Saccharomyces cerevisiae S288C: one gene and its partners. The protein of the gene in region 1 interacts with the protein of each later gene in a pairwise test. Each region holds a gene or a part of one and is shown in the gene's direction. Other genes may lie near its edges.

Region 1 (8,023 bases):
AATGTTGCTGCTTCCAAATTATATAACTTTTAACATACTTCTCTGATAGATTTGATTTGCAATGGTCTCAAGTCAGCCTTTAGTTCTGGAGAGGAGCTTTCTAGATCGATGAAGGTCTTGGCGACTTGTAATTCCAACTCACTTGGAGCTTGGGATAAGATCTTGGATTGGACAGAGGACATTGGTCAGTTATGTGTCTAGTCTTTAGTGTGTTGGTTTCTCTTCTGTTTGTATATACAAAGTCAAATAACACATATTTTAACCATAATCAATAGCATTTGGTATTTCCCCCTCCGCGTATTATGAACGCCTAGTGAGCCCATTCTTCCCTAAAGCCAGGCTGGAAACCCAAACTGTGTGGAACGTGACTGAATTGCATTTGGTGAGTTACCAAGCAAAGGCTCGCAGGCTTGAACCACATTTTACCAGGGCGCTCGCTTTTTCCGAAATATTGAAATTAAGCAAAACAATAATGTACGGATTTAAAGAGGTACGGATGGAGACCGTAGAAAATTGACTTTTTTTTTTTTTTTGTTATTTTCTGTGCCTTTCGTAACTACTACTATGCAGAATGACAGGTAGTTGTTGTTTCGAATTGCTACTTTCACGCATTCAACTTGATCAACATTTCTCTCTGATGAAAGGTTGTGGAAAGTTTGGTCGTGTCTATAAGTAGGTGTTTTTTATTAGTTCTATATAAAAATGGAGAATGTTAATTTTAACCCACCCTAAAACAGTGATTAGGAGTGGTAATAATTTTTTGTTTAATGGATTAAAACTAAAGGTTCATCTGTACTTTCAGAAAGTAAGACACTAAAAATGGCAAGCTAACAACCATTAGCGGGTATTGCAGCATTAAGAAAAATGAAACACACTCCATTTGGATTGGCGCAGTTGTTTCTGGCGGCGTAAAACTGGCGGTGAAATATATAAGGGTAGTCATCGTTGGCAAGTTCCAGCTGATTGCTATAACAAATAGTAGCATTCTATCATCTTGCCAATTAACCCATCCAGCTTTCACTAACCGATCACACCATAGGACACCAAAAATTGGCATGACACATTGTCTCAAAATGACGAGTGTCACAGCGGCTTTCCAAAATCCAGGATAAAGGTTGCCAATCTTTAATCTTCCTAAAGTTGCTCCTAATAATATCAACCCAAATGGAACACATGCGGCACCGACATAACCTGTAAAATCCATGAAAAAGCTTAATGGTGGTGCATTGTCAGGAGCTTGGCTTATGTGAGGAGTATTAGCGGTAGTCACGAACAAAGCCTTGACCCATGGGATAAATGCAACAGTTAGGGCGATGATCACGGCCATAGAGCACGGTCTCAAACAATTCTTTAGGAAAAACACAAGTAATGGAGTTAATGAAAATTTTCTCATCCACTGTGGTAATGATTCGCCGGATGTTTCAATATCCTTTTTACTTACAGTGGCATCTGATGTTAAGATCCTGGTTAGGTTAGCAGTTTTTATAGTCTGTAAAGTGGAATTTGAGCTAATTGAATGCACATCATTCATATCAGCGCCGCGTAAACTGGAATTCCTCCTTTGATGACCATACTGGTCAACGTTGGAGTACTCTCTGATAAGATGGTGTATATTTTGAGAAGGTAATGCACGCATATCAATGGAGCGGATAGGTTCCAATGCCGCCATAGACATATTTTTTGGGCATTTTTCATCTAAACAGTTCTCTTCTAGGAGTGTGGTAGTATTGTAAGCTCTCGGCTGGCTCGCGGTTCTACGTGCTCTCATAGTATCTATGCTACTCTCATAACTCTCTGACGTATTATAAGAATGTATTGTTGAAGCAGATGATTGGCTATCTAATGGATTTGAACCACGAGTTGCCTGTGACTCTTCGCTTTGAGTGCACGCAATAGTATTTCTTGCCTTCACCTGAACTGGTTTTGTAATCTTTGAATTCGAAGAAGTGTCTGGTAGTGACAGGGGAGCTATACTATTTGTTGATCTCCTTGAAATTGGTGGTACGTCTGCGTTTTCACCCTTTGTACCTATAGCTTCAGTGAGACTATCGCGAGCGGTGTACTTATTGTTGAAAAGCTGTTGTTCGTTTGAGAAGAAACGCTCGCTAGTATCTGTATTAGTTGTGTTTGCACTTACTGCGGGCTGTGTCTTTGTCGTTTCTGAAACCCTAACGGCGCTTTCATCGTCGTTGTACTCGAAATCGCTTTCAATCAGTCGAAACCCCCCCAAATTGAAAATGCAAATTAGAAACATTGTCAGAAATATAATGACGTTAGCCACACCTTTGTTACCTTCTTCTTCCGAAAATACAAGCCCTTGGTCCATAGATTGTAAATATGCAATTGGTAAATCACTTATATTTGGAAACATACCACCGGCAAGAATACCACCGTACCATTGTTTAGGAACAGGCAGGAATAGCCTAACAACGTATGCAAAAAAGAACCCAGAACCAAATATTAGGAGGGCAGACAGACAGATAATTCCCACAGATTTGATGTCTTTATCTTCAATATTAGCGACAATCTTGTTGAATGACAGAGAGGGTAGTAAAACTGTTAGCACGATATCAGAAATAATTCTTGTTGCTTCAACCGTAAGAATTCCCATTTTAGCCATCAGAAAGCCGACTCCTATAATCAAATAAATCTTGATTATCGGCTTAACTGACACCCATATCGCTTGACCCAGAGTAATGTGCACCATCTGATGAAAATTTGAGGTTTCAATCCCTTTCTCTGTTTGATTCTATAACTTCTCCAAAAAAATTGCGCTGACGCTAATTAGTCACTGTTTATATCTTTTTTAGCGATGATTTGTAACAATATGCCATAAAAGCGTTCTCTAACTGCGGAAGTGATGAGAATTGAATAGTTTTATTCAGAAGGCAATATATCCTAATATGGCACAAAAAGGCAACTTGTATGCACAAAATGAGCATAAGAGTTCAGGCAGAACGTTGTGCTCTTGATCCAAAGGTTAAAAGTCATCGAGTAGGAAGATATTGTAACCTTCGCGCAAACCGCAGCCGCAGCGGGTCACGTGGTCGCGCAAATGATGATGAGGGCGCGGTCTAACTTTCCAAACGAGGTTACCAACAATTCTCGGACAGATAAAGCATTAGAATAGGGTGGCAACGCCTTTACGGTTAGCTTGTTCATTGTGATTGGTTTGTGTATCTTTTCTTGGCTTTTTATGCCCACGAGACATAAAGTATACGAAGCTGTTATACTATTCGTGATCCAGGGCAAAAATTTAGCATCATTAAGGCATATATATCGCAAATAGTGGGTTGCACAAGGCTTTCAATAAACAGTGTCATATGTTTCTCTAGCTCTGTCGGTTTGTTGGCTATAAAGAGTTTGTCTAGTAATCGCCGTCTTTTCTTGGGACCATTAACACAGACAAGGACATTGAAACTTGGCTATAAGTTCCGTCAAAGGGGGAAAAAATTGCTTTGGAGAAGGAATAAAAAGATGAATAGTCAAGGTTACGATGAAAGCTCTTCCTCTACTGCTGCTACTAGCGGTCCTACTTCTGGAGACCCACGAATGGGTAAGAAACAACGGTTTATGAATCTCATAAGAACCACAAAGGATGTTTATATTCCTAACCTGACGTCATCCATTTCTCAAAAGACAATGGATGGCATCAGGAGCACTACGAATTCCTTCGAAGGTTATAATGACTTGCCTATGGAATTGCCACATAATACCACGATAACATATTTTCCAACGTATACCACAACTAATTTGGTTGACCCTGACGGTTTGAGTGCGCCTCGGAAAGATTTTGAAACTACTGTCAGATGTGCTGTTTCTTATCCAGGAAATCCTACAAGCAGGAGAAATAGGTGGTTGCTTTCTCTTTGTAAACAATATCTTAGAACTGGAACGGCGGAGGCCGATGTTGCACCTGTTGTTCCCCCTCATCTCGAAGAGGATTCTGGAGATTTAAACGACTCCCAATCAAGTATAGAAAGTTCTTTGTCTTCAAAGAGCGAAAATAGGTATTCACATATGGGCATCCAAGAGGAAGATGTTCTGAATGAGAGAATTCAAGGATTCCTGTCCAAAAAAGTTCCTAATACTCCAGTGGTGGTTGACCTATTGCCCAAAGATAAGCTCAGAGGGGATACGGCTTCCTTTTTTGGTACCACGGACTCTTATGGTAATTTACTAATCAAGGCAGAAACAGATTTTTTACCGTCCAAGATTAATATTACATTAGATACCCCTATAGAAGGCCATGCAGATCCCATATCTGAAACATTTCCGGCCAATTATGTCTCGCCCTACGGTATTGGTTTAATCAGTGATATTGACGACACCATCAAGCATACTGGCGTTACGGGTGACAGGAGATCGATGTTTCGTAATGTTTTCATCCATGATGTTCAATCGTGGGTAATAGATGGTGTTCCTCTTTGGTACAAAACTTTACATGATGTCGCAGACGTTGATTTCTTTTATGTTTCTAATTCACCCATCCAAACTTTTACTCTTTTGAAACAATATATTTGCGCCAATTTTCCTCCGGGTCCAATTTTTTTGAAACAATACTCTGGTAATTTCTTTTCCACTATCATGACTTCAAGTGCGAATAGAAAAATTCAGCCGATTGCAAATATCTTAAAGGATTTTCCCAAAAAAAAATTTATTTTGGTCGGTGATTCTGGTGAACATGACTTAGAAGCGTATACCACTACGGCTTTACAATTTCCGAACCAGATTCTGGCTATTTATATAAGATGTTGCTCTAATTCCATGAGTGATGTCCCATCGCATGATGAAGAAGTTATGAATGAAGTGAACAATATCATCGAATTACAACAACGGCCCATGCAAATGACCAAGTCTACCGTACGTACCAGGAGAAGACCACCACCACCTCCCATTCCTTCCACTCAAAAGCCATCGTTGACAGAAGAGCAAACCGAAAGTATAAGAATGTCACGCCGTAATAAAGATGAGAACAATGCTAAAAGAGTTGCCCCACCACCGTTGCCGAACAGACAGTTACCTAACTTAGACGCTAATACTTACTATGTACCATCCTCACAAAATGACTATGGCATGTATGGTGCTTTCATGGATAAAAAAGCAGATGAATGGAAGAGAAGAGTAATGGACTCAATTCAAAAATTGAGCAATCAAGACACCACATTGATGTTCTTTTCGGATCCGGCATTAAGTTTGGAAGACAGTATTCGCAGAATTAGGGAGAAGTATTCAAACTAAATACACTGTTATTTATATACATCGGGAGGGAGTTTAAAAATTGTATACACTAAAGTGACCTTATGAATTGGAGCCATTTTCAACGTTTTAGAGTGATGTTGCATCCTTTTCATCAGATCGGGAAATTAAAAAAACGGTTATAGAAGGGCTAAATGTAAATATGTAAATTTTATGAAGTCAAGAGTAAAGAAAATCTTCGGTTGCCGATCAAATACACTCTTACAAAATACCCTAAACTCAGTTTATCTTTCCATTCCAACTGATTATCGCGTACGCCTTGGTGACCAACCATACCCTAAAATGTCAATTTCCGGGGCGGAAGGGGTCCTTAAACTGCAAAGCCTCTTCCCATGTAAATAAAATAAATCCGTAGAATTTATTAAATATTGTCATATTATAAGTCGGGAAAGGCCTTCTGAATGCACGTATATTGACCAAATAGAGTTAGATTCAAATTATTTATTACATTTTTTCAGCATCGAAGTTAAGTAGAATGGATAAACATACAGCAGCTATTCCAACATTAACTATCAAAGTAGTCTTACTCGGAGAATCTGCTGTCGGGAAGTCCTCAATAGTCCTCAGGTTTGTATCTGACGATTTTAAAGAGAGCAAAGAACCTACTATTGGTGCCGCATTTTTAACAAAGAGAATTACAAGGGATGGCAAGGTCATTAAATTTGAAATATGGGATACGGCAGGCCAGGAGAGATTTGCTCCTTTAGCGCCTATGTACTACAGAAATGCTCAAGCTGCTTTGGTAGTTTTTGATGTTACTAATGAAGGGTCTTTTTATAAGGCTCAAAACTGGGTCGAAGAACTACACGAGAAGGTAGGACATGATATCGTTATTGCCTTGGTGGGGAACAAAATGGATTTGCTGAATAATGATGACGAGAATGAAAATAGGGCTATGAAAGCACCAGCTGTACAAAATCTCTGTGAAAGAGAGAACCTCTTATATTTCGAAGCAAGCGCTAAGACTGGTGAGAATATTTACCAGATATTTCAAACATTAGGCGAAAAAGTACCATGTCCTGAACAAAATACACGACAAAGCTCTACTCATGATCGCACAATTACCGATAATCAACGAATCGATCTCGAATCAACGACTGTAGAAAGTACTAGGGAGACTGGGGGTTGTAACTGCTAAACTGCAAGCAAAACAACAGCAAACGCGGCATATTCAGCGTCTTAGCGAAGCTTGCCATTGAAAAGAACAGTTCGTAACAACAGCTGGAAGAATAGTACTGGAAATTTTCAATTACTTTTGCAAAACAAGCACTTTTTTGTTTCACTTCCATTAGCCGCAAGAAATACACTTTTTTTAGGGGCGGGAATTTTCATCGCCAGATCGAGAATCACAAGGCCTTTACGTACTATAGTTTGTAATTTATACAAAATCAGCTACTGTTATTTTGGTGTACCAGCGGCAAAAATTGGTGAGGATCTGAAAATTAATTAGAGGTGAACACATATCAGTAATTTTGACTATGGACGAGAATGAATTTGATAATCAAAGGGAGAATAAAGCTGTAGCTCGAGTGATCATATCATTTCTTAAGTATGAAGAGTATGCCCTAAAGGAAATCTACAATTTGAGAGTGAAAAAATGGGCATCGATCTCAGATCGTCAAAAAGACATGGTACCAAACTATACAAAATATTTAGCTAATCTGAAAGCCGCAATTATAGAAAATGGCAAGTTCTTTAGAAGTGTCGCCGAATATGCCCTGCAATCAATAAGTTTTGAGCCAGGAGAAATCGTACAACCAAACGATTTAGATATGAGTAAAACATGCTCTTTACTTACGCAAGTTTATAGGGAGTGGTCCGCAGAGGCCATTTCTGAACGTAATTGCTTAAATTCGAGGCTTGTACCGTTTTTGAAGACCCTATCACCCCCAAAAGCCGACATTTTGATACCGGGTTGCGGCACAGGACGCCTTCTCGTGGATCTTAGCAGAATGGGCTATAATTGTGAAGGTAACGAATTTTCATATCACATGCTGCTTGTATCTCAATACATGTTGAATGCAGGATTACTCCAAAACCAAATTATTATCTATCCCTTCATACACTGTTTCTCCCACTGGAAAAAAATTGAAGATCAGTTGTCTCCCATTAAGGTGCCGGACATAGAAGCGTGGTCTTCAAATAAAGGTATGGGGTCCATGTCGATATGTGCTGGCTCGTTTGTTGATTGTTATGGTCGTAATCAAGGCACAAAAATCTCGTCACATTATACATTTTCGCGAAGGATGCAACTAAGTAGAGCAAAAGCTGAAAACTCCAAAGACGTTGTAGTAACAAACTTTTTTATAGATACGGGATCCAACATCTTGGATTATTTGGATACTATTGGCCACGTCTTGAAGCCAGGCGGAATCTGGTGCAATTTCGGCCCATTGCTTTATCATTTTGAAAATGACCATGGGGTTGAAACTACCTACGAAGTTAACCCTTACTCTGGGTTTCAAGATAAAATCAATGACTATACACCACTGATGGGTTTAGAGCTTTCTAGCGATGATATCATAAGCATTGCCACAAATCATCTGGACTTTGAATTAATACGGAGAGAGTCAGGAATACTTTGTGGGTATGGCCGCTACGCGGGTCCAGAAAGTTGCGCCATGCCTGGATACATGTGCCACTATTGGATCCTGAAGTCGAACCCCACCAATGAATCATAAGCTTACACAATAATCTAATTGCACTATATAGAAGTTGCTGACACAGCCGTTTTAGAGAACTCAGAATGTTACCCGCGCGGAAA
Region 2 (8,057 bases), on another chromosome or scaffold:
CCATCGGATTTAATGGAGGCTGAAATGCAAGGATTGGTAATGGAATAGGATAATGAATGACAGCATATAAAATGGAGGAAGAGGTGATAATATTATTACGTAGAATTCTCTTTTTTGGATTCAGGATCAGTGAGGACAGCTTCTAGTATATTCTGCATACCTAAATGCTATTCTTTTTTTTATCAATTTGATTTACTAAATGCTATTTATCCCAAATAATCCATATAAGATTTTAATCTAGATGGAGGGTAAAAGCGCGGAAACATGAGTGTAAACTGATTGTGCAGATATTTACACATTTGAGTAGCTCGTCAAGGGCAATCAAGCTTTCAATCTTGCCGGTTTCATACATGTTGATAAGCTAATGAAACTACTAATGTCTTGCTGTAAAGTAAACCTGTATCATTTCTGTTTGGAAGATTTCAACAAACGTTCGGGCGTGTGGCGTAGTCGGTAGCGCGCTCCCTTAGCATGGGAGAGGTCTCCGGTTCGATTCCGGACTCGTCCATTTAAATTTTTTTATTTTTTTTGTCAAATCTCTCTATCTATAGAGATAATCTCTATCAACTCAAATGATACTGGATATTATATGTACATTTTCCATTTCCCGTACAATCTTTCCCTTTCAAACACATTTTAGTACTTCTTGATACGTACAATTCAGTAAAAATCCTCGAGGTCATGCACTCACACCATTCACACTCCGGTGACTATAGTGCCCACGGTACGGACCCTTTGGATTCCGTGGTCGATCAAGTGGTCAACCTCAACTTTCACACGTACTGTTTGACAGAGCACATACCAAGAATTGAGGCCAAGTTTATATACCCCGAAGAGCAGTCATTGGGCAAGAATCCTGAGGAAGTCATAACCAAGCTAGAAACATCGTTCAAGAATTTCATGAGTCATGCGCAAGAAATCAAGACTCGTTATGCTGATAGACCCGATGTGCGGACTAAATTCATTATAGGAATGGAGATCGAAAGTTGTGACATGGCTCATATCGAATATGCAAAGCGACTCATGAAGGAGAATAATGATATTTTGAAGTTTTGTGTGGGTTCGGTCCATCACGTCAACGGGATCCCTATTGATTTCGACCAACAACAATGGTACAATTCATTGCATTCCTTCAATGATAATTTGAAACATTTTCTCCTGTCTTACTTCCAATCACAGTACGAAATGCTGATCAATATTAAACCGTTGGTCGTGGGTCACTTCGACCTTTACAAATTATTTTTGCCCAATGACATGCTAGTAAACCAGAAATCGGGCAACTGCAACGAAGAAACCGGAGTTCCTGTAGCTTCACTGGACGTCATCAGTGAATGGCCAGAAATATACGATGCAGTTGTAAGAAATTTACAATTTATAGACTCCTATGGCGGCGCAATTGAAATCAATACGTCCGCATTAAGAAAGCGCCTCGAGGAGCCGTACCCCAGCAAAACCTTATGTAATCTGGTCAAGAAGCACTGTGGATCCAGATTTGTTCTAAGTGATGACGCACACGGCGTGGCGCAAGTGGGTGTGTGCTATGACAAGGTAAAGAAATACATAGTAGACGTGCTACAATTAGAGTATATTTGCTACCTTGAGGAAAGCCAATCACCAGAGAATCTGTTAACTGTAAAGAGATTACCCATTTCGCAATTCGTTAATGATCCCTTTTGGGCCAATATATAATCTGATTATCTTGAACTGGATGTACATAAAAAAAAACTGTCATATAAACTCATGTACAGCTGTGTAGAAGTGAATGATCTTTCCAAGAAAAAAATTTCACACTGAATTGATTGAATTGACTGCTCATTTTATATTGGGTGCCCAAATTGTCTTTCTTTATTGTTCGTTTAGTAGCAGCACCCTGTTTGCTCGCCGACTCGGCCGCATCTGGAAGTTCAACATGAAAGAGTATAAACTATCGAAGAAATCTAGAACGGCTTTGGATCACGGGTGGCAAAGAAATCAAAAACAAAAGCTGTATCACACGCAATGGGTATTAACAATCCTATTCCAAGGAGTTTAAAGAGTGAGACAAAGTATGTTTTATACGGGTTTGGCTGGGAAACCTTTAAAAAAGTTCTCCCTTAATTTGTTCATCATTTACTAACTAGTAATAAACAATTAATAAAGAAAAGCAGCGAAGATTTTGGCTAGTTTTGTCAAACCAAACCAAGTTTTTGGTGCGGACCAAGTCATTCCTCCAGACGTTTTGAAAAGAGCTAAAGGGTTGGCTATCATAACGATCTTAAAAGCAGGTTTTCTATTTTCAGGTAGAGCTGGTTCTGGTGTGATTGTCGCAAGATTAAAGGATGGTACTTGGTCAGCTCCATCTGCCATTGCCATGGCAGGTGCTGGTGCCGGTGGGATGGTTGGTATAGAATTGACTGATTTTGTTTTCATTTTAAATACTCAGGATGCTGTTAAGTCGTTTTCTGAATTTGGGACCATCACGTTGGGTGGTAACGTCTCCGTTTCTGCTGGGCCTCTTGGTAGAAGTGCAGAAGCAGCTGCATCAGCCTCCGCCGGTGGTGTGGCTGCAGTTTTTGCCTATTCTAAGAGTAAAGGTCTATTTGCAGGGGTTTCTGTGGAAGGTTCGGCTATTATAGAAAGAAGAGAGGCTAACAGAAAATTTTATGGTGACAATTGTACCGCGAAAATGATTTTGTCTGGTAGGATAAGACCGCCTCCAGCAGTTGATCCATTGTTTCGTGTTTTAGAGTCCAGGGCGTTTAATTACAGACCCTCCAACGGTGGTCGTGGCAGTTTCGATGACGACGAAGACGATTACTATGACGACGACGATTACTATAATGACATTCCTAGTTCATTCAGTTCTACAGATGCTTCCTCCACTAGACCTAACACAAGATCCACAAGGAGAAGAGCCCAAAGCGGTTCTCGTTATACGTTCGACGATGATGATGACGATGATGATTATGGTACTGGCTATTCAAGGAATTCAAGACTGGCTCCTACCAACAGTGGCGGTAGTGGTGGTAAATTGGATGACCCATCTGGAGCTTCAAGTTATTATGCCAGCCACAGAAGATCAGGAACTGCTCAGTCAAGGGCTCGTTCTTCAAGAAATCGTTGGGCTGATGATGAATACGATGATTATGATGATGATTATGAATCCGGGTATAGACGCGGGAATGGAAGAGATAGGACAAAAGACCGTGAAGTCGATGACTTGTCGAACAGATTTTCTAAATCTAGAATCTCGTCCGCTTCAACACCGCAAACTAGTCAGGGCAGATTCACTGCTCCAACATCCCCATCCACGTCTTCTCCAAAGGCCGTGGCATTATATAGCTTTGCAGGAGAAGAGTCCGGAGATTTACCATTCAGAAAGGGTGACGTGATCACAATTTTGAAAAAATCAGATTCTCAAAATGACTGGTGGACCGGAAGAGTCAACGGTAGAGAAGGTATATTCCCAGCAAATTACGTTGAACTAGTTTAAAAAATTTGAAGGAGAGTAAAGAATACGAGAAACGTTATTGATTTACACTTATACCTTTTGCCTTACAGTTTATCAGCACTCGGACCTAAATACATATCATATAGCAGACGGCGTCCCTCTGTCTATCCTTTTAAGAATTTTTTCCATAATAATAATTTTTAATAATATCTAAATATAACGAAAAAGATTGAATTAGTGTAAATAAAAAAAATAAATAAGGAAAACTCTAGCTAAATTAACAAAGAGACATTCATCTTTTAAATCCTAACGAGCTTGCAGCCTCTTCAATTTGTTTTTGCAATACACCTTCATGATATGGACTACTATTTAGCAACGATAAAAATTTGTCCAATATTAACACATCGCGATTCCAATAAGTGTCGAATATATACTCAGCTATTCCGTGCACATTTTCGTCTCTAGTGGCACTTGGAAATCTCATGAAATCTATACCTCTTCTTACTTGCTTTTCGAATGTTTCCAAAACTTTCTTATTGAAATTTTTATTCTTTATTAGTGATCTTGTGCTGCTATTCATTGACGAAAGATCTCTCATGTGTGGGGAGTTCAAACTATTCGCATGTGAGTACTGGTAATATGGGGTAATTTGTGGATGAGAAGAGGTGTGTATATTGCGCATTCCATAACCATCATGATATTTAGGTGCATTATTTTGTCTTTCCCAAGATGTCGTGACGATGCTTCCTCCTACTAAACGGTTATTCAAAAAGTTAAATATTCTCGTAGCATCTTCAAAATTCCTGAATTTGATGAACCCAGAATATGTAGAAGAATTTTCGTCATATCCATCTATCTGAATCTTGAACGGTCTAATATTTTCTTGGTGACATAAATATTTAAGAAATTCCTTATTGCAGACAGCGCTTAAATTTTCCAGGAAAAGTGTAGATATTTTTTGAGATTCTATAAATTTGGCTCTTTCTTCTTTATCCTGTGCCCTGGTTACTAAAAGCTTTTTACCTCTGAAATAAAAATTATTGTAGCGTTTAATTGCCTTTTCTGAGTCACTGCTATTTTTATATGTAACAAATGCCCAAAGATATTTAACTTTAGTGGCATTGGATAGATAAATTGACTTAATTGGACCCACTTCACTGAAGAAATTTAAAATATCATCCCTTGTAGTTATTGTTGGAAGGTTTTTGATGAATATAGAATTTTGGGATGAAGAGTAAATATTTTTAGATTCCTTATCATTCCCCTTGGAGTGTTTCTCATTCAAAGATTGCTCTTTTTCAATAATTGTTTCCGCATCTAATCGTGATTTTTGTGTTTCAAAATTTGGAACACTTCTGACCTCTTTATCAAAATGTATTCCACATAGAATTTTCTTACCAAAAAAACTGGTATTATTGTACATTTTGATCACATTTCTCGCAGTTTTTTCGTCCTCAAAGTAAACAAATCCTATATCTTTCCTAGAGTCTAATTTGCATGATAGAATTTTACCATATCTAGAAAACGTATCATAGAATACTCTTGTTGTTAATAATGGATTATTTAGAGGTAGATTAGAGAAAAAGACATTAGTGCCGAAATTCTTTCTAAACGTTGTATTCCTCAATGATGGCATAATCCTAATTTCTTTACCATTAACCTTCGTGTAATTTAATTCTTCCATAGCCTTTTCAGCTTCTTCTTTGTCTTCAAAATTTAAGTAACCATGGCCCAGTGATTTTTTTGTCACTGAATCAAGACAAACTTTAGCAGAGACAAAAGAGGGATATTTTTTGAAGATCCCTTTTAAAGTTTCTTCAGTAACTGTTTCATGGAGGTCACCAATGAATAGCGGAACTAGTTTTTTACTTTCAAAACTTTTCAATTTTCCATTCTTGTGACCGGATTTGTTGTTGTTAATTCTCAAAAATTCAGGTGAATCAGAATGGCTCGAACTTGACGATCTGGATGTTTTTTCGTGGTAGTCGTCTGGCCTAATAGGAGTAACTACGGGGTTAAATGATATTTTCTTTTCTTGATCTTTTTTTACTTTCAAATCCTGGTTTTTCAAAATATTCAGGGGAACCATACTGAGTATAGAAGGTTTTTTGTTTGAAATAGAATACATGTTTCCTCTTGTAGGTTGAAATTTTTTTTGTGATACTGATTCTCTCGTTATTATTGGTTCGTTCAATTAATGAATAATTAGTTTGATTATTTTCCTCTTTATTTGACCTTAGGAACAGTTTTTAAGGTATACTCTGAACTGCAAATTTTTGTCATAACTCTTGGTAATCAAGGCTAGAAGTGTACTATTTTTGCTTTCTGCACAAGGCTTTTTCTTCGGTACGACACAAAAACAACTATTGTGTCGCAGTCCATAGAAGGAGCAAGAAAAAAGAATGTCTTTAAAGGCGAATGTGATTCTATGCTTTCTAGTACCTACTGTGCCGAATAATGTGTAAGTCTCAAAATTCTTTTCTTCCAAAGCATATCCATAATATTTACCTTACGCTGGGTATTTTTTTTTTGGTCACTCCAGATCTAGTTTTTTAAAACTTGATCCCAACGTAACTAAATATAAACAAGACAAAGCTCGAAATAATATAATGTAATTTAGCGAATGTAGTGTTTATATCACCACATTTGGAGAATGTACAATGAATAGTTTCTCTGTCTCTAATGGAATAAGAATTTAATTTCAAGATTTAATTACTTTATGGTGGACCATTTATCTTATGATATCTAGCAAATCAAAGGATCCCTCAAACTGAAAACCAATAGCAGGATCGACCTGACTCTTTTCAACAATGCAGTGGATTTTTTTGAACTTATACTGCCGCACGCCAAACATTGCATTTATCCCTTTTTCTTTAAAATGCCAGTTAGAGTGCGTAAATGCTATATACATCACTTTCTATATGAAACTATACAAGCTTAATGCACGAGCCGAAACAATATCGGCGACTATCGTTTGTTACCCTTTGATAGAAAACCTCCCATAAACCCAGCTAAAGAAGTAGCCCTCCGTCTTGTTGGTGACCTTTTCATACTATTACTGGATGGGTTATTCGAAGTTTTCGAAGTTAACTCATTAAGTGTATTAAGAGATACCCCACTAGAACTACTTCTAGAGCCATTAATTATGGAAATAGGGGAAGCAGTGCTACTCATAAAACTAGAGGAATGAAAGCTAGTTGGTATAGAAGATGACAATGTTGTCGAAGAGTTCCTGGAATGTACCCTACTGGGTTTTCTTGGTTGCACATTTTGTATCGCACAAGGGTAGGAAGGAGGAAGGTCCTCACCAATGATATCATATTTCATTGCCTTGCCATACGATGGAACCTTGTTCAGGTTTTGAGTCTCTGGATAATTTAAGCCCGAGGGCACTGGTAACACTTCATGGGCTGACACGCTTGGGGCTGGGGATCTTGAAAGTAAAACAGGTGATACGTTACTATGTACTCCTGGCACAGAGCCACTATTGGGACCAAGAGCACTCTGAGGTAAGATTCTCTCCGTGCCATCCTCTGGTGCTGGAACGTTTAGTAATGGAGATAGCGATCTGGAAGCGGCAGCAGACGAGGCAGACGGTGGTAGCCCTAGATTGTCACGTTGATTTCTAATTTTTGTCAACCGTATACGTAAATCTTCTAAATCCTGTTGCTGATCCTCGACAGTCGAACATTCGCTTCCCAAAGGAGTACATGTTCCAGACGTTTCCACAGCCGTGCGAGTGAAAGAACCGCTATAAAGACGATCATATACGTGCATTTCATAATTTGGGGGCGTCATCAAGTCTGAAATGGTAGGAACAGAGCCACCGCTACGCATATCCGCTAATAATTCCAACCCTGTGACTGATGCTGATCTAGAAAACAGATATTCCTCTTCCTCTTCTTGTGATGAGTTTTCGTCTTTCTGGTTAGTGGTGCTAAAAAGCGAATACAAATTCGAGGATGACAATGGTTTTATTGAAAGTGCCACAAATGGTGAAATAAAAAGTTGAATCGGTAAGGACGCTCTTAACTCAGATTTATGACCATCTGGGTTAATTAGGATGATGAAAAATTTGAGCTTATGGCGAACCTTAATGTTAGAGCGGACATCACAATCTTGCACACAGTTTGATAAGCTGTTCGGGATTTGCAGGATGGTATCAATCTCCCACTTGTCTTGGAATGAATGATCAGGCTGAAAAAAGGGGTTATTTACAAAGCAACCATTACCATTAAATTCTCCAGATGACTCGTTCAAGGGATCTTCAAGATTTAGTTCTGTCACTTGCCTATTTTCAGAAATTACTGGAGGGAAGGGGTCACAATATTGATAATTCTCAAATAATACGACTTTGATTGAGCCCAATTTCAAACCTTTCGAAAGAGGTACAATGGAAATATTTATAGGGGTGGCTGAACCAATAGCTACGGCTTTGTTGGGTACTGAAATAGAATAATCCACTTTGTCGGGCCATGAGTTATCTACACAAACAGTTTCTGATAACTCCACTGCTGCGGGTGAAATGGTTCTCAGAACTCTAATATTTTTCCTACAGATCAAATCACTATAATTTTTGCTGCGTTCAATAACGGATTCCATGCTATATGTCACGAAGCAATTTGGC
Region 3 (7,800 bases), on another chromosome or scaffold:
ATTGCTGGTAAAGTCCACACCGGTAGATCCCGTAATGATCAAGTTGTTACCGATTTGAGAATATACTGTCGTGACATTGTCAATGACACCCTCTTTCCAGCTTTAAAGGGCTTGGTTGAAGTTCTAATTAAGAGGGCCGAAGGTGAGATAGATGTCTTAATGCCAGGCTACACACATTTACAAAGGGCACAACCTATTAGATGGTCTCATTGGTTGAGCTCTTATGCAACATACTTCACCGAAGATTACAAGAGACTGGGTCAAATACTACACAGATTGAATCAATCACCACTGGGTGCAGGCGCTCTTGCTGGTCATCCTTACGGCATTGATAGAGAATTTTTGGCTGAAGGTTTGGGTTTCAATAGTGTAATTGGTAACTCCTTGGTTGCTGTTTCTGATAGAGATTTCATCGTGGAGTTGATGTTTTGGGGAACTTTGTTCATGAACCATATTTCTCGTTTTGCTGAAGATTTGATTATATATTGTACAGCAGAATTTGGTTTCATACAGTTGAGCGACGCCTATTCAACAGGTTCTTCTTTAATGCCTCAGAAGAAGAATGCAGACTCGTTAGAGTTGTTAAGAGGTAAATCCGGTAGAGTATTTGGTGATCTGACAGGATTCTTGATGAGTTTGAAGGGTATCCCATCTACTTATGATAAAGACATGCAAGAAGACAAAGAGCCACTATTCGATTGCTTAACAACTGTAGAGCACTCCATGCTGATTGCCACAGGTGTTATTTCTACCTTAACTGTAAATAAGGAAAAGATGGAAGCTGCTCTCACGATGGATATGCTAGCTACCGACTTGGCAGATTACTTGGTCAGAAAGGGTGTTCCATTCAGAGAGACTCATCACATATCTGGTGAGTGTGTCGCTACTGCTGAAAGACTTGGTCTAAGCGGTATTGATAAATTAACCTTGGAGCAGTATCAAAAGATCGATTCGAGATTCGGACAAGATCTTTTTGAAACTTTTAACTTTGAACAAAGCGTTGAAAGACGAGATGCTACTGGTGGAACCGCTAAATCTGCTGTATTGAAGCAATTGGATAATTTGAAATCCCAATTAAATTAGCAGATGGCGACGTTATGCGCAAGAATTTCATCAGGTCTGGTACTTCTAGGACTTCATCAACCCTTCTTTAAATACTTATTTTGTTATTAGTATTATATTTTCGAGATTGTGCTATGTATATATATACGTAGATAAGCAATTGTTATCTAATCAAGGATATTATTTGGATGATTTAGAAGATGACCGGCAAAAAAACGAAATAATGCTGCTATATACCTTGGCTAATCTTCCTCTCAAGCGTTTCAGGGAAAGACGTGTGTGATGGTTGAATATAAGTGAAGCAAATGGCCATGAGACTAAATAACTAAAACGGCCGCAATAATACACACTATTGTAACCTCCCAAAGTCGTTAACCAACTTAGCAGTTGTCTTAGTTTATACCCATTCGCACTCATTATCATTTTGTAAACTGGATAATGTAGGGCCTCGTGAATGTCTGAACCGGCCATTCTCAAAAATTTATAGTTCGATGGTTGTGACCCAATCTGCAGGATTCCAAGCTTGATTGTGGAAACATTTAACCTTTGATATTCCTTGAAAATTTTAAATAGTGAGTCGATTATTCCAGACGTTATAATTTCTGTACTATGATGGACTAAGTTCAGGTCCGCAGTCAAAGATGGATTGAACATAATTAGTTGGGTTTTTCTCTTCAAATGGGGTATAATGCTTAATAATGCTTGATAATACACAAATATACTTGAATGAATTTCAGATTCCAATGAGTCACATGAAATTACTCCGGATGGATGATATGATAACCTTGGCATAAACAATATGGATGCTAGCCTTGGTACATCAACAAAAAAACCCTCGAAGTCTTTTTCGCAGGTGGGATCAATGTAATATATGAAATCCTGATCTTCTTCGTGCTTCTTATAGACGTCTGCATTTTCAGTACAAATATATACTGTAAACCGTCTGCGATATAAATCCATCACTTGATTCCTTATGATAGGATCATTCATATCGCCCAGTATTAATACCACTTGAGATTCTGCTTCAGGTAAATTAGGTGGCAGTTTAAAAAAGGTCCTATACCCAAGGTATAAGCACAGGGAGGTGGCAGAAATTCCCAAGCCTAGCTTCCAATGATCCTGGAGCCCGATCCTCAAAGTTTTATATACTTTAGATCTGTTACTGTCGTTTTCCTGTAGTCGAGGAGTCTCCTTGTTGGATATCTTTCCAGATATGGATTCAATTGATTTTTCGACGTGGTTCTTGATCTCATCGCTCAAGACAGCGCTTTTCGAGACGAGCCAATACCCAGCATCAAATATCTGATCCACTATATCCTTACCACCAGACCAAGCCATTTTTATTTGTTTTTTTGAGAGCAAATATCTTCTGTTGTCTGTTTTATATTTCCTGTTTGTATGCCACCTACAACATTTTTACATGTTCCGACGCTGACCGAAAACGACCTGAAGGGAATTAAAGTTGACTACCCCCTAACTAGACCCTGTTCTTAACATTATCTATAACATGAAACTATCTTACACTTCACAGTAAAATTTTCAAGAGTAGTGGTAATATCAAATCCAAAATCCAAAAATGGGTATCAATAATCCAATTCCTCGAAGCTTGAAAAGCGAGACCAAGTATGTTCATATATATGCTTCCTGCTGCCCCTCCTCTAAACTTATGGATGCAGCTAAAATGTTCAAGATAGCTCTCTAGTCTGTGTCCATTGCTTATGGGGCATGAGTTTTCAAAAGTAATGTACTAACAACTTTATGATTGATTTATTTCGAATGTTTTAACTACAGGAAGGCCGCGAAAGTTCTAAGGAGTTTTGTTAAACCAAATCAAGTATTTGGAGCAGACCAAGTTATTCCACCATATGTGCTAAAAAGAGCTAAAGGTCTAGCAATTATCACGGTTTTAAAGGCTGGCTTCTTGTTTTCAGGGAGAGCAGGTTCTGGGGTGATTGTGGCCAGGTTAAAAGACGGTACATGGTCGGCTCCCTCTGCTATCGCTATGGCAGGTGCTGGTGCAGGTGGTATGGTCGGCGTTGAATTGACAGATTTTGTTTTTATTTTAAATTCGGAAGAGGCAGTGAGGTCCTTTTCTGAATTTGGTACAATTACTTTAGGTGGTAATGTGTCAGTTTCCGCAGGTCCTCTTGGAAGAAGTGCAGAAGCTGCAGCTTCTGCATCCACAGGTGGTGTCTCGGCAGTTTTTGCCTATTCCAAAAGCAAAGGTTTATTTGCCGGTGTGTCTGTGGAAGGTTCAGCCATCTTGGAGAGAAGGGAAGCTAATCGAAAGTTTTACGGCGATAACTGTACATCAAAGATGATTTTGTCAGGTAGAGTAAAAGTTCCACCAGCAGCAGACCCCCTACTCCGTATCTTGGAATCAAGAGCGTTCAACTTTACACGCCACGACCATGATGACAACGCTAGCGGTGATGATTTTTATGATGACGGTCAATACAGCGACAACACAAGCCATTATTACGACGATATTCCAGATTCCTTTGATTCTACTGATGAATCCTCAACACGTCCAAACACAAGATCATCAAGAAGAAGAGGAATGTCGCTGGGGTCACGCAGTCGTTATGATGATGATTATGATGATGATGGTTACGGACGTGGTCGCGGGTATGGAGATTTTGATAGCGAAGATGAAGATTATGATTACGGAAGATCTCCAAATAGAAACAGCAGCCGCAATAGAGGCCCACAGATAGATAGGGGTACTAAGCCGCGTGCGAATACCCGATGGGAAGATGATTTGTATGATAGAGATACTGAATACTCCCGTCCCAACCATTCCGGTAGGGATTATGATAATACCCGAGGAAATAGGCGTGGTTATGGTAGAGAAAGGGGTTATAGCCTTGGTCATGGCCCAACTCACCCCAGCAATATGAGCAATGTCGATGATTTATCACATAAAATGTCGAAGACAGGGTTAGGTAATGAATCCACTGCTACAAATTCGGCGACACCAACGGCTGTTGCTCTCTACAATTTTGCTGGAGAACAACCAGGCGACTTGGCTTTCAAAAAAGGTGATGTTATTACTATCTTAAAAAAATCAGATTCTCAAAATGATTGGTGGACAGGCAGGACTAACGGAAAAGAAGGAATATTCCCTGCAAACTACGTTAGAGTTTCTTAAATTATCGTCCTCCATATGTCTCGTTCCTATATATAGAATTTTTTTTTAGAGTTATGAAGTTGAGGATGGGTTCCTTATTCAGCTATGTTTACGAAATGTTTGTAGTTATATAATCACAATGGAAAGCTTCGAGGAACCACTTCTTAAGTACTCACTTAGTAGGTGGAGTATTTCTTGAAACTGGACTATACGCCATTAAACTAAAAAAAAATCGAGGCTGAAACTCCTTGGAATAATTCTGGGTAGATTAAGATAGCAAAGAAAACAATACTCTATTTTTATAGACATACGTACTTTTGTACCGAAAATTGCATATTGATGAACCTGCCTTCTTCCTTTAAAAGGAATCAAACTGTAAATCCGAGGCTTTCAGCAGCTCTAGTGACTTGTTTTTGTAGAATTTTCTGTGATTCTAATGAAGTATTTGTCATTAATAAAAAGTGCGATAGCCTTTCTGAGTCATGCTCCCAAAATACGTCAAAAATAAACTCGGAAATGCTGCGCAGATTTTCTTCTTTATTTAAACCAGAAATACTTATACGTTGTAAATTTCTGTTTATAATTTTTTTTAAGGACTCAAGTATTTCTGCATTCTCCTGTTTAGTTCTCTTAGGCTGATGCAGTTTTTCGTCAACAGTATTTGTAATTAAATTAAATGCTGGATGAGGTTTCATCGGCGTAGCTACGAGAGAGTTCATGTTTGTGTAGGAATTTGAATATGATGAGAATGGGGAAACTACTTGTTGAAACTGTGACGTTAATCCCTTTTGATGAGCTGATAACTCTTGTGTGCGGAAACGCATCATGGAACTAATGTTGATTAATTTCTTATAATTTTCATTGTTGTTACCATCGTCATAGTCTATCTCATTTAGTATATTATCATTATTCTTTGACCATGATGCCTCAACCAAACTACTTCCAATTAGTCTCCTATCCAAAATATTAAATAATCTCTCAGCATCACTACGAGAAAAACACTCAACATGTCCACAAAATGTCCAATTTAATGAGTTATAGTTTGTGATCTTAATTTCACTGAATCTTATTTTTTCTTGTAAACATAGTTGAGAAATAAACTCCTTATTGCAATTGAAGCTTAAATTTTTTAGATAAACCTTTGTTTTCTTGTTCGTTCCAATTTGATTATGAACAGGCTTATCTTTACCAGGACCAACCCAAATGGTATGGTTTTTAAAAATTGTTTTATTCAAACATTTCTGTGCCTTTTTAGATTCTTCTTCATTTTTATATGTGACGAACGCTTTATGTGGTGTGTTCGCCTGCTTTTCAGAGATGAATACAGATTTTATGGGGCCAATAGTGCTGAAGTAATCCAAGACCTCTTCTTGTGTTGTGTCAGATGGTAAATTTTTGACTAATATTGTTTTCGAACGAGCATTATCTGATAAATTATTGCTAGCCAATAGTTCGTCTTCGATAACTATGTCGGAGCCAATCATTTTTTTTCTTTTTGTAAATTCAGGTCTAGTTCTTACTTCTTTGTCAAAATGCAATCCACATATAATTTTATTTCCAAAAAATTCTTGGTTATTGTATTTTTTGATTACATTTCTAGCAGAAATATCGTTATCGAAATAAACGAACCCAATGTTTTTTCTTCTTTCTAGAAGACATGACAGTACATTTCCGTACTCGATCATTATTAGATAAAATGATCTTGTGGTCAGTTGGGGATTTTCCAGTGGTAAGTTAGAGAAAAAAACATTTGTTCCGATGTTTTTTCTAAATAATGTATTTTTCATAGATGGCATTATTTTAACTTCTTGACCAAAAAAAACCGTATAATTAAATTCTTTCCTTGCAGATTCTGCATCGTTTTTATCCTTGAAATTCAAATAGCCATAACCCAATGATTTTTTGGTGAGAAAATCACGACACACTTTAGCAGATTCAAAAGATTGATACCTTTTGAATATCTTCCTTAGCATTTCTTCAGTGACAGTTGATTTCAGATTTCCTATAAACAAACTATTTGTCTTTGAAGTTTTCGTGATATATTTTTGCACGCTTCCCTTTGCAACAGTTTTTTCAAATACTTGCTCTTGTTCTTTCTTTTCTTGAGTTGCATTTTTACAATCGTATTTTTTGAGGCTATTCTTTTCTTTGACTTCAGCATCCTTTAATTTCACATCACCGAGCTTATATCCAGCTCCTTGCACGCGTACTAGTGCTTGGGCTGATATCGTTTTGAAGCTTTTCTGCCTTGCATCTTTATCATTTGGGCAACTTTTAGAAATCGATCTGGGATTTTGCTTGCTATTTAAAGAGATATTATTCAATACATTACCATGAGAGTTTGGCATCTTTTTTTAGGGAATTTTTCGTATTTCTGCTTTTATTGACTTGGATAATTCATTATGTTAAGTAAGCTCTAATTGCTAAAAATGCCATAAAAAGAAAACTTATTGGAAAAGGACCGCCATTTCGAACGGAATTTGTGACACAAGTTCATTTTAGCAAAAAAAGGTCCTACCCGGATTCGAACCGGGGTTGTCCGGATCAAAACCGAAAGTGATAACCACTACACTATAGGACCGGAACTTACTGGTCGATCTGAAAATCATGATCGAATACGTCATCCTTGCATTACCCAAAATCAATCAATTTTTAATGAAATACATCAAATTTTGATTGTTGTTATGAAACTTCAAAATATCATCCGTTTATTAGTACTCACGCTACTAGTTTATTGTCAAATAAGTTGTAAGAAGATGGCATAAACATTGAGAAACAGTCATCAATTCTAATGAAAGCAGAAATGCAAGGATTGACAATGTAATAGGGTAATGAAAAATATAGAACGGAAGGAGAAATAATCATAATAACCTTATGTCGAAATACAGATTCTGAGAATTAGGTGAATTTTGAGATAATTGTTGGGATTCCATTTTTGATAAAGGCTATTATATTAGGTATACACAATATACTAGAAGTTCTCCTCGAGGATTTAGGAATCCTCAAAATGGAATCTATATTTCTACAACCTAATATTACGATTATTCCTCATTCCGTTTTATATGTTTCATTATCTTATTACATTATCAATCCTTGCACTTCAGCTTCCTCTAACTTCGATGACAGCTTCTCATAACTTATTTCATCATCTAACACCGTATATGATAATATATTGATAGTATAATTATTGGTTGATAGACGATAGTGGATTTTTAATTACATTTTGAGGATTCTTATGTTCTGGTGGATAACTACTAGTATATTCTGCATAGCTGATATCATAGCCTTCACCAACAAGGAAATCGCAACAATCATTAAATCATTCACTCAATATTCATAATCAATGGATGATGTTAAATTCTTATTTTAACATTTAGTTTGTGATTTCCGGTAAAAGGGTAGTGTTGTTTTTTTGAGAGCCTTTTCTGACGGACAAATGGTCGCAGGAAATATAAATTTATATTTAGTAATACGCAATCGCATACACATAAAAGAAGCCGAAATATTTTATCAAATACAATAGAAGCTAAAAGCAAGAATTGATAATGTAATAGGATAAAGTAATATAGTTATGGAGATTTATCGACGCCTTTTTGTGGATTCCAAGA
Region 4 (5,639 bases), on another chromosome or scaffold:
AATTCAGATTGGTGATCTGACAAAAATCTAACTAATTTCGTAGCATTTTCTGATTGTTTGGTTATTCTCATTTCGTAGGTTCTCAGGGATCGCAACAACATGAAACTTTCCAAATTTGCCACGTTTGTACCCAAGTAGATTCTGTCGTCTTTTAGTTGTCGGGAAGTTGCTTCCTCTTTGACTACAAGGACGCCACTTAACAAGTCAGAATGACCACCAAAGTACTTAGTAGCAGAGTATAGGACAATATCGGCTCCGAAATTCCATGCGTATTGCAATGGAGGAGATGCGAATGTGGAATCCACTATAAGCAGGGCGCCTTTTGCATGAGCTCTGCGGGCCAAACTCTCGATATCAGAAGAGGTACCATATGGGTTTACAGGAGATTCCAGATGGACAATGTCACCTTCAGAAGCACATTTTTCAATATCTTCCAAGGGGTGTTGCTCAATGCCGTAATTACGGGTCAATATGTTAGCAATTGCTCGAACACCATGGTAGCTCTGTCCGATAAAGATCTTCTTAGGGTTGTAATGTACCATTGCCGCATAGAACGCAGCTAACCCTGAAGAATAAATGACAGCATAACCATCGAGGATCTCTGAGAAGATACTCTCTAATCTGGTGCTATTTGGATGCGCTAGCCGTGAATATACGGGCTTCTTCTCCATAAAGTCCAAGTTTTCACGCTCTGTCCATGGAATTAGGTCGTCATCGTCGTAACGGAAGGTTGTAGAGACATTAATTGGGGGCGCCACGTCAGTAACCCTGTTATCTTTATCATCGCCATGAATCAAAGCTGTTGACAAGTCCACCATCTTACGTACTCTTTTCGTGCAATCTTTCCTTTATAGCATGTACTACAACATTTGAAGAGATGGAGGGATTGCAACGATCTATTGTTGCGCAATATGCTTATATATCGCGTGTTGCATAAACCCATCAAGTGATCGCACTCTGAATTAAACACCGCAAAAAAATAGAAACCACAGTTTCACCATTTGACAAGAACTCACAAGATATCCTTGAGGTCTATCAGTAAGTGGTTAATCCCGTACCAAAGCGTATGTGAAGGACTTCAGAAACAGTTATTTCACGTACTACAATTATTACAACTGGCCCTCTTTCCCTTATATATACTGTAAATATTGCGACTGACATGGAGACCACATAATCACACGTGATAAATAGTCCCGTTCAACTTACGTATATAATGTGATTCAGTGTTCCGCCAAGGAGTAAACTCCTTTAGTTTAAGGTCTGCTTATTTTTGCAACAGAAGCCTGCCTTGGCTTTCGAGATACTAGTTTCTGGCTACGGTTTTCTATTCCTTATCATTTTAGCCTTATCATACTTGCTGAAAAGTTGCAGATATCTCCACGCTCTTAAATGAAAGAAAAAAGGGCGTTTTCCTCCTGTATGAATGAAAGAAAAAATTCATGTTATGTGAGCAAGTAGGTAAAAAGAAAGAATAAAAGGTTCAGCTTTTCTATGTTCAGGATACAACTGAGAACTATGTCCAGCAAAACATGCAAGAGTGATTACCCAAAGGAGTTTGTCAGTTTCTTAAATAGCTCACACTCTCCTTACCATACAGTTCATAACATCAAAAAGCATCTGGTGTCAAATGGCTTCAAAGAGTTGAGCGAACGTGACTCGTGGGCTGGCCACGTCGCACAAAAAGGAAAGTACTTTGTGACAAGAAATGGCTCTTCCATTATTGCGTTTGCTGTTGGTGGAAAGTGGGAGCCTGGTAATCCAATTGCCATTACGGGTGCTCACACCGACTCCCCCGCATTAAGGATTAAGCCTATTTCTAAAAGAGTCAGTGAGAAGTATTTACAAGTGGGCGTGGAAACTTATGGTGGCGCTATTTGGCATTCATGGTTTGATAAGGATTTGGGCGTTGCCGGAAGAGTTTTCGTAAAGGATGCGAAAACTGGCAAATCCATTGCTAGATTGGTGGATTTGAATAGACCTCTGTTAAAGATTCCTACTTTGGCTATTCATCTGGACAGAGACGTAAATCAAAAATTCGAGTTTAATAGAGAAACTCAACTGTTGCCGATTGGTGGTCTGCAAGAAGACAAAACTGAAGCGAAAACTGAAAAGGAAATTAATAACGGTGAGTTTACCTCCATAAAAACGATAGTACAGAGGCATCACGCAGAACTTTTGGGGCTAATAGCCAAAGAACTCGCCATTGATACAATTGAAGACATTGAAGACTTCGAATTGATCCTTTATGATCATAATGCATCCACTCTAGGTGGGTTCAACGATGAGTTTGTCTTCTCTGGTCGATTGGATAATTTGACATCTTGTTTCACATCAATGCACGGTTTAACGTTGGCGGCTGACACAGAAATTGACCGAGAATCAGGCATTAGATTGATGGCATGCTTTGATCATGAGGAGATTGGCTCATCCTCCGCCCAAGGGGCAGATTCTAACTTCTTGCCTAATATATTGGAAAGGTTGTCCATCCTGAAGGGGGACGGTTCTGATCAAACTAAACCTTTGTTTCACTCGGCAATATTGGAAACTTCCGCTAAGTCGTTTTTCCTTTCATCTGATGTTGCTCATGCAGTTCATCCAAACTATGCAAACAAATACGAAAGCCAACACAAACCCTTATTGGGTGGTGGTCCCGTAATCAAGATTAACGCGAATCAACGTTACATGACCAATTCACCAGGGTTGGTCTTGGTGAAAAGACTAGCAGAGGCTGCTAAAGTCCCTTTGCAATTGTTTGTCGTAGCTAACGACTCACCATGCGGTTCTACCATCGGCCCCATTTTGGCCTCAAAGACAGGTATTAGAACTCTAGACTTGGGTAATCCTGTGTTGAGTATGCATTCGATTAGAGAGACCGGTGGCTCTGCAGACCTGGAGTTCCAAATCAAGTTATTTAAGGAATTTTTTGAACGCTACACTTCCATAGAATCTGAAATTGTTGTCTAAACTGCAATTGTTAGATGATTCATAATCCGGTATATTTATTGCCCTCTTTTGTATTTTACAAATAGTAAATATATATAATATCTTGTGATCTACATAAGCTTTCGCGGGGTCTTCAGAAAAATAAAAAGTTTTTAAAAGAATATACGCTTAGCAAAGGAATAGACAGATTTAGTTTGTACGCAAATAGTTTTTGAAGAAGGTAGCAGATTGATCAATTTTGTATGAGCGGAAATCTATCCTTAAACGCCAACTACTACATTACTTGCAATAAAAATGAGTGCAGATTTATCGATTGGTAATGAAATTAAAGATTCATTTAAGGAAACCCATAAATGGGTCCAAAATAACTTAAAATGGTTGAAGGACATTGAGCAATTTTATCGGGAAAGGGCTAAGTTAGAAAAAGACTACAGCGAGAGATTATCTCGCTTATCAGCAGAGTACTTTAATAAGAAGTCTTCGACCTCAGTTCCTATCTCGGTAGGTGACACACCTACTACCACGCCAGGGTCCATTGAAGCTGCAGGTGTGGTTGCATGGAATGAAATTCTATCTCAGACTGATATGATTTCCAAGGATCATGATCAGTTATCAACCGACTTTGAAAATCATGTAGCAAATCAATTGAGTGGATTATTCACTAAACTTGATATGACTTTGAGCAAGATAAATGGATTTAACAATGACATGGTTAATAAAAAGGATAACATTTACCACGAACTGGAAAAAGCGAAGAAGGACTATGATGAAGCCTGTTCCACTATGGAAATGGCAAGAAATAGGTATACCAAGGCATCTAATGATAGAAATAAAAAGAAGTTGGATGAAAAAGAAATGGAGATGAACAAGTGTAAAAATGAATATTTAATCAAGATCAACCAGGCAAATAGAACTAAGGATAAATACTATTTTCAAGATGTTCCTGAAGTGCTAGATCTTCTACAAGACGTAAATGAGGCAAAGACCCTTTTCTTAAATGATCTGTGGTTGAAGGCGGCTTCTGTCGAGAACGATCTGGGTGCAAATGTCAGCAAAAGACTCCAGGCGGCAAATTCTGTTGTCAAGCAGAATAAACCCTCTTTAAACACGGCCATCTTTATCAAGCACAATCTAAAGAATTGGAAAGAACCACAAGACTTTGTCTATAAGCCATCTCCAGTATGGCATGATGATGAAAAATTTGCTGTTCCCTCGTCGTTGGAAGTTGAAGACTTGAGAATAAAACTGGCAAAAGCAGAAAATGATTACAATTCATTGCAAGATAAAACTCAAAATGAGTTATCCAAACTGTCTACTTTGAACAAGATAAAGCACGAAATGAAAACTAATGAAGATAATATCAATGCCACTAAGTTTTATGATACACTAAAGGAATACTTAAATGTCGTTTCACCCTTTACCTCACACGAAACATTAAAATTGCAAGCCGAAGTTCAAATCGAAAGTATTCAGAATAATGTTCCTGAAGAATACGATTTATCCACAGACAATATTGATCTTTCCAAAACAAAGAAGAAATCCGGGATATTCAGTAAGTTCAAACACAACATCCTGAACGTCGACTCGAAGCCTTCGAGTGGAGGGAGCACTGGTAATGGCAACGGAGGACCCTTGCATATAACAAGTCTCTTCAACACATCAAGAAGAACTAGGCTAGGCTCTGCCCCTAACAACGCTGGTGAAGATTCAGATAATAATTCTATACGCACCACTAGTACCAACAATACAAAAAAGACCACACAAAATTCCAGTGATGACGGCAAGAATAAAGTGTTGTATGCATACGTACAAAAGGATGATGACGAAATCACCATTACGCCAGGAGACAAAATCTCTTTGGTTGCACGCGATACGGGTTCTGGATGGACTAAGATAAATAACGACACCACTGGGGAAACCGGCCTTGTACCCACCACATATATTCGCATATCTAGCGCGGCTACAGTTAAAGCAAATGATAGAGGCCCTGCACCAGAAGTACCACCACCAAGAAGGAGTACACTACCTGTTAGGACGATGGAGGCCATATATGCCTACGAAGCACAGGGAGATGATGAGATTTCAATTGATCCGGGGGACATAATTACTGTTATCAGAGGCGATGACGGTAGCGGGTGGACATATGGTGAATGTGACGGATTGAAAGGTCTATTTCCTACAAGTTACTGTAAATGAACGAAGGAATGAACTGAAACTATTAAATATTTTCCCTGGCCGCCACTTTTTTGAGAGGTATGACGACTCTATGTTATATATATATATATATATATATATATATATAGCACAAAATTTCATGTGATCAATCTACTAGGCGAACACCTAAATTGTTATTTATTTCCATGTCTATATCCATTTCAATGTCTGGCTCATCTTCGTCCTCGTTTTCGAATTCGGATTCAGATTCGGATTCCAAGGTAGTCTCCAAATCACAGTTTGTCCTACAGTTCGGACACATGAATTGAGGATAATTCATAATAACCAATCTTCTTACACAATGAAAATGCCAACTATGGGCACATGGTGATATAAAAATGGCTTGGCAAGGTTTTATTTTGTTTAGACAAATGGAACAGTCTTCTTGTTCTAAACCAGTAGTTAGTTTCTGTAGATTTTTTATTCGGCTCAAGGCTTCTTTATTAAATGCATTGGCCTTTAATTTCCAAGACTTGTTCAAT

What was found.
Region 2: the proteins of APP1 (region 1) and LSB3 interact in binary tests that used the Saccharomyces cerevisiae proteins (3 or more experiments, as listed by UniProt).
Region 3: the proteins of APP1 (region 1) and YSC84 interact in binary tests that used the Saccharomyces cerevisiae proteins (3 or more experiments, as listed by UniProt).
Region 4: the proteins of APP1 (region 1) and BZZ1 interact in binary tests that used the Saccharomyces cerevisiae proteins (3 or more experiments, as listed by UniProt).

The regions. Positions count from the first base shown.
Region 1 is NC_001146.8:444,134-452,156, forward strand, and holds APP1 (phosphatidate phosphatase APP1), read left to right. Parts: upstream 1-3,477; coding exon 3,478-5,241; downstream 5,242-8,023. Other genes in the region: 40S ribosomal protein eS7 RPS7B, read right to left, coding at 39-182; YNL095C (uncharacterized protein), read right to left, coding at 779-2,707; Rab family GTPase YPT53, read left to right, coding at 5,735-6,397; YNL092W (S-adenosylmethionine-dependent methyltransferase), read left to right, coding at 6,738-7,940. UniProt on the Saccharomyces cerevisiae protein: Mg(2+)-dependent phosphatidate (PA) phosphatase which catalyzes the dephosphorylation of PA to yield diacylglycerol. May play a role in vesicular trafficking through its PAP activity at cortical actin patches.
Region 2 is NC_001138.5:197,375-205,431, reverse strand, and holds LSB3 (Lsb3p), read left to right. Parts: upstream 1-1,998; coding exon 1,999-2,045; intron 2,046-2,139; coding exon 2,140-3,472; downstream 3,473-8,057. Other genes in the region: HIS2 (histidinol-phosphatase), read left to right, coding at 682-1,689; PES4 (Pes4p), read right to left, coding at 3,723-5,558; ROG3 (Rog3p), read right to left, coding at 6,398-8,057.
Region 3 is NC_001140.6:133,294-141,093, reverse strand, and holds YSC84 (Ysc84p), read left to right. Parts: upstream 1-2,638; coding exon 2,639-2,685; intron 2,686-2,853; coding exon 2,854-4,213; downstream 4,214-7,800. Other genes in the region: argininosuccinate lyase ARG4, read left to right, coding at 1-1,083; YSC83 (Ysc83p), read right to left, coding at 1,243-2,400; MIP6 (Mip6p), read right to left, coding at 4,561-6,540. UniProt on the Saccharomyces cerevisiae protein: Essential for the organization of the actin cytoskeleton, fluid phase endocytosis and vesicle trafficking, together with LSB5.
Region 4 is NC_001140.6:334,846-340,484, forward strand, and holds BZZ1 (Bzz1p), read left to right. Parts: upstream 1-3,237; coding exon 3,238-5,139; downstream 5,140-5,639. Other genes in the region: YHR112C (putative cystathionine beta-lyase), read right to left, coding at 1-818; APE4 (aspartyl aminopeptidase), read left to right, coding at 1,492-2,964; ubiquitin-conjugating protein DMA1, read right to left, coding at 5,264-5,639. UniProt on the Saccharomyces cerevisiae protein: Plays a role in endocytosis and trafficking to the vacuole. Functions with type I myosins to restore polarity of the actin cytoskeleton after NaCl stress.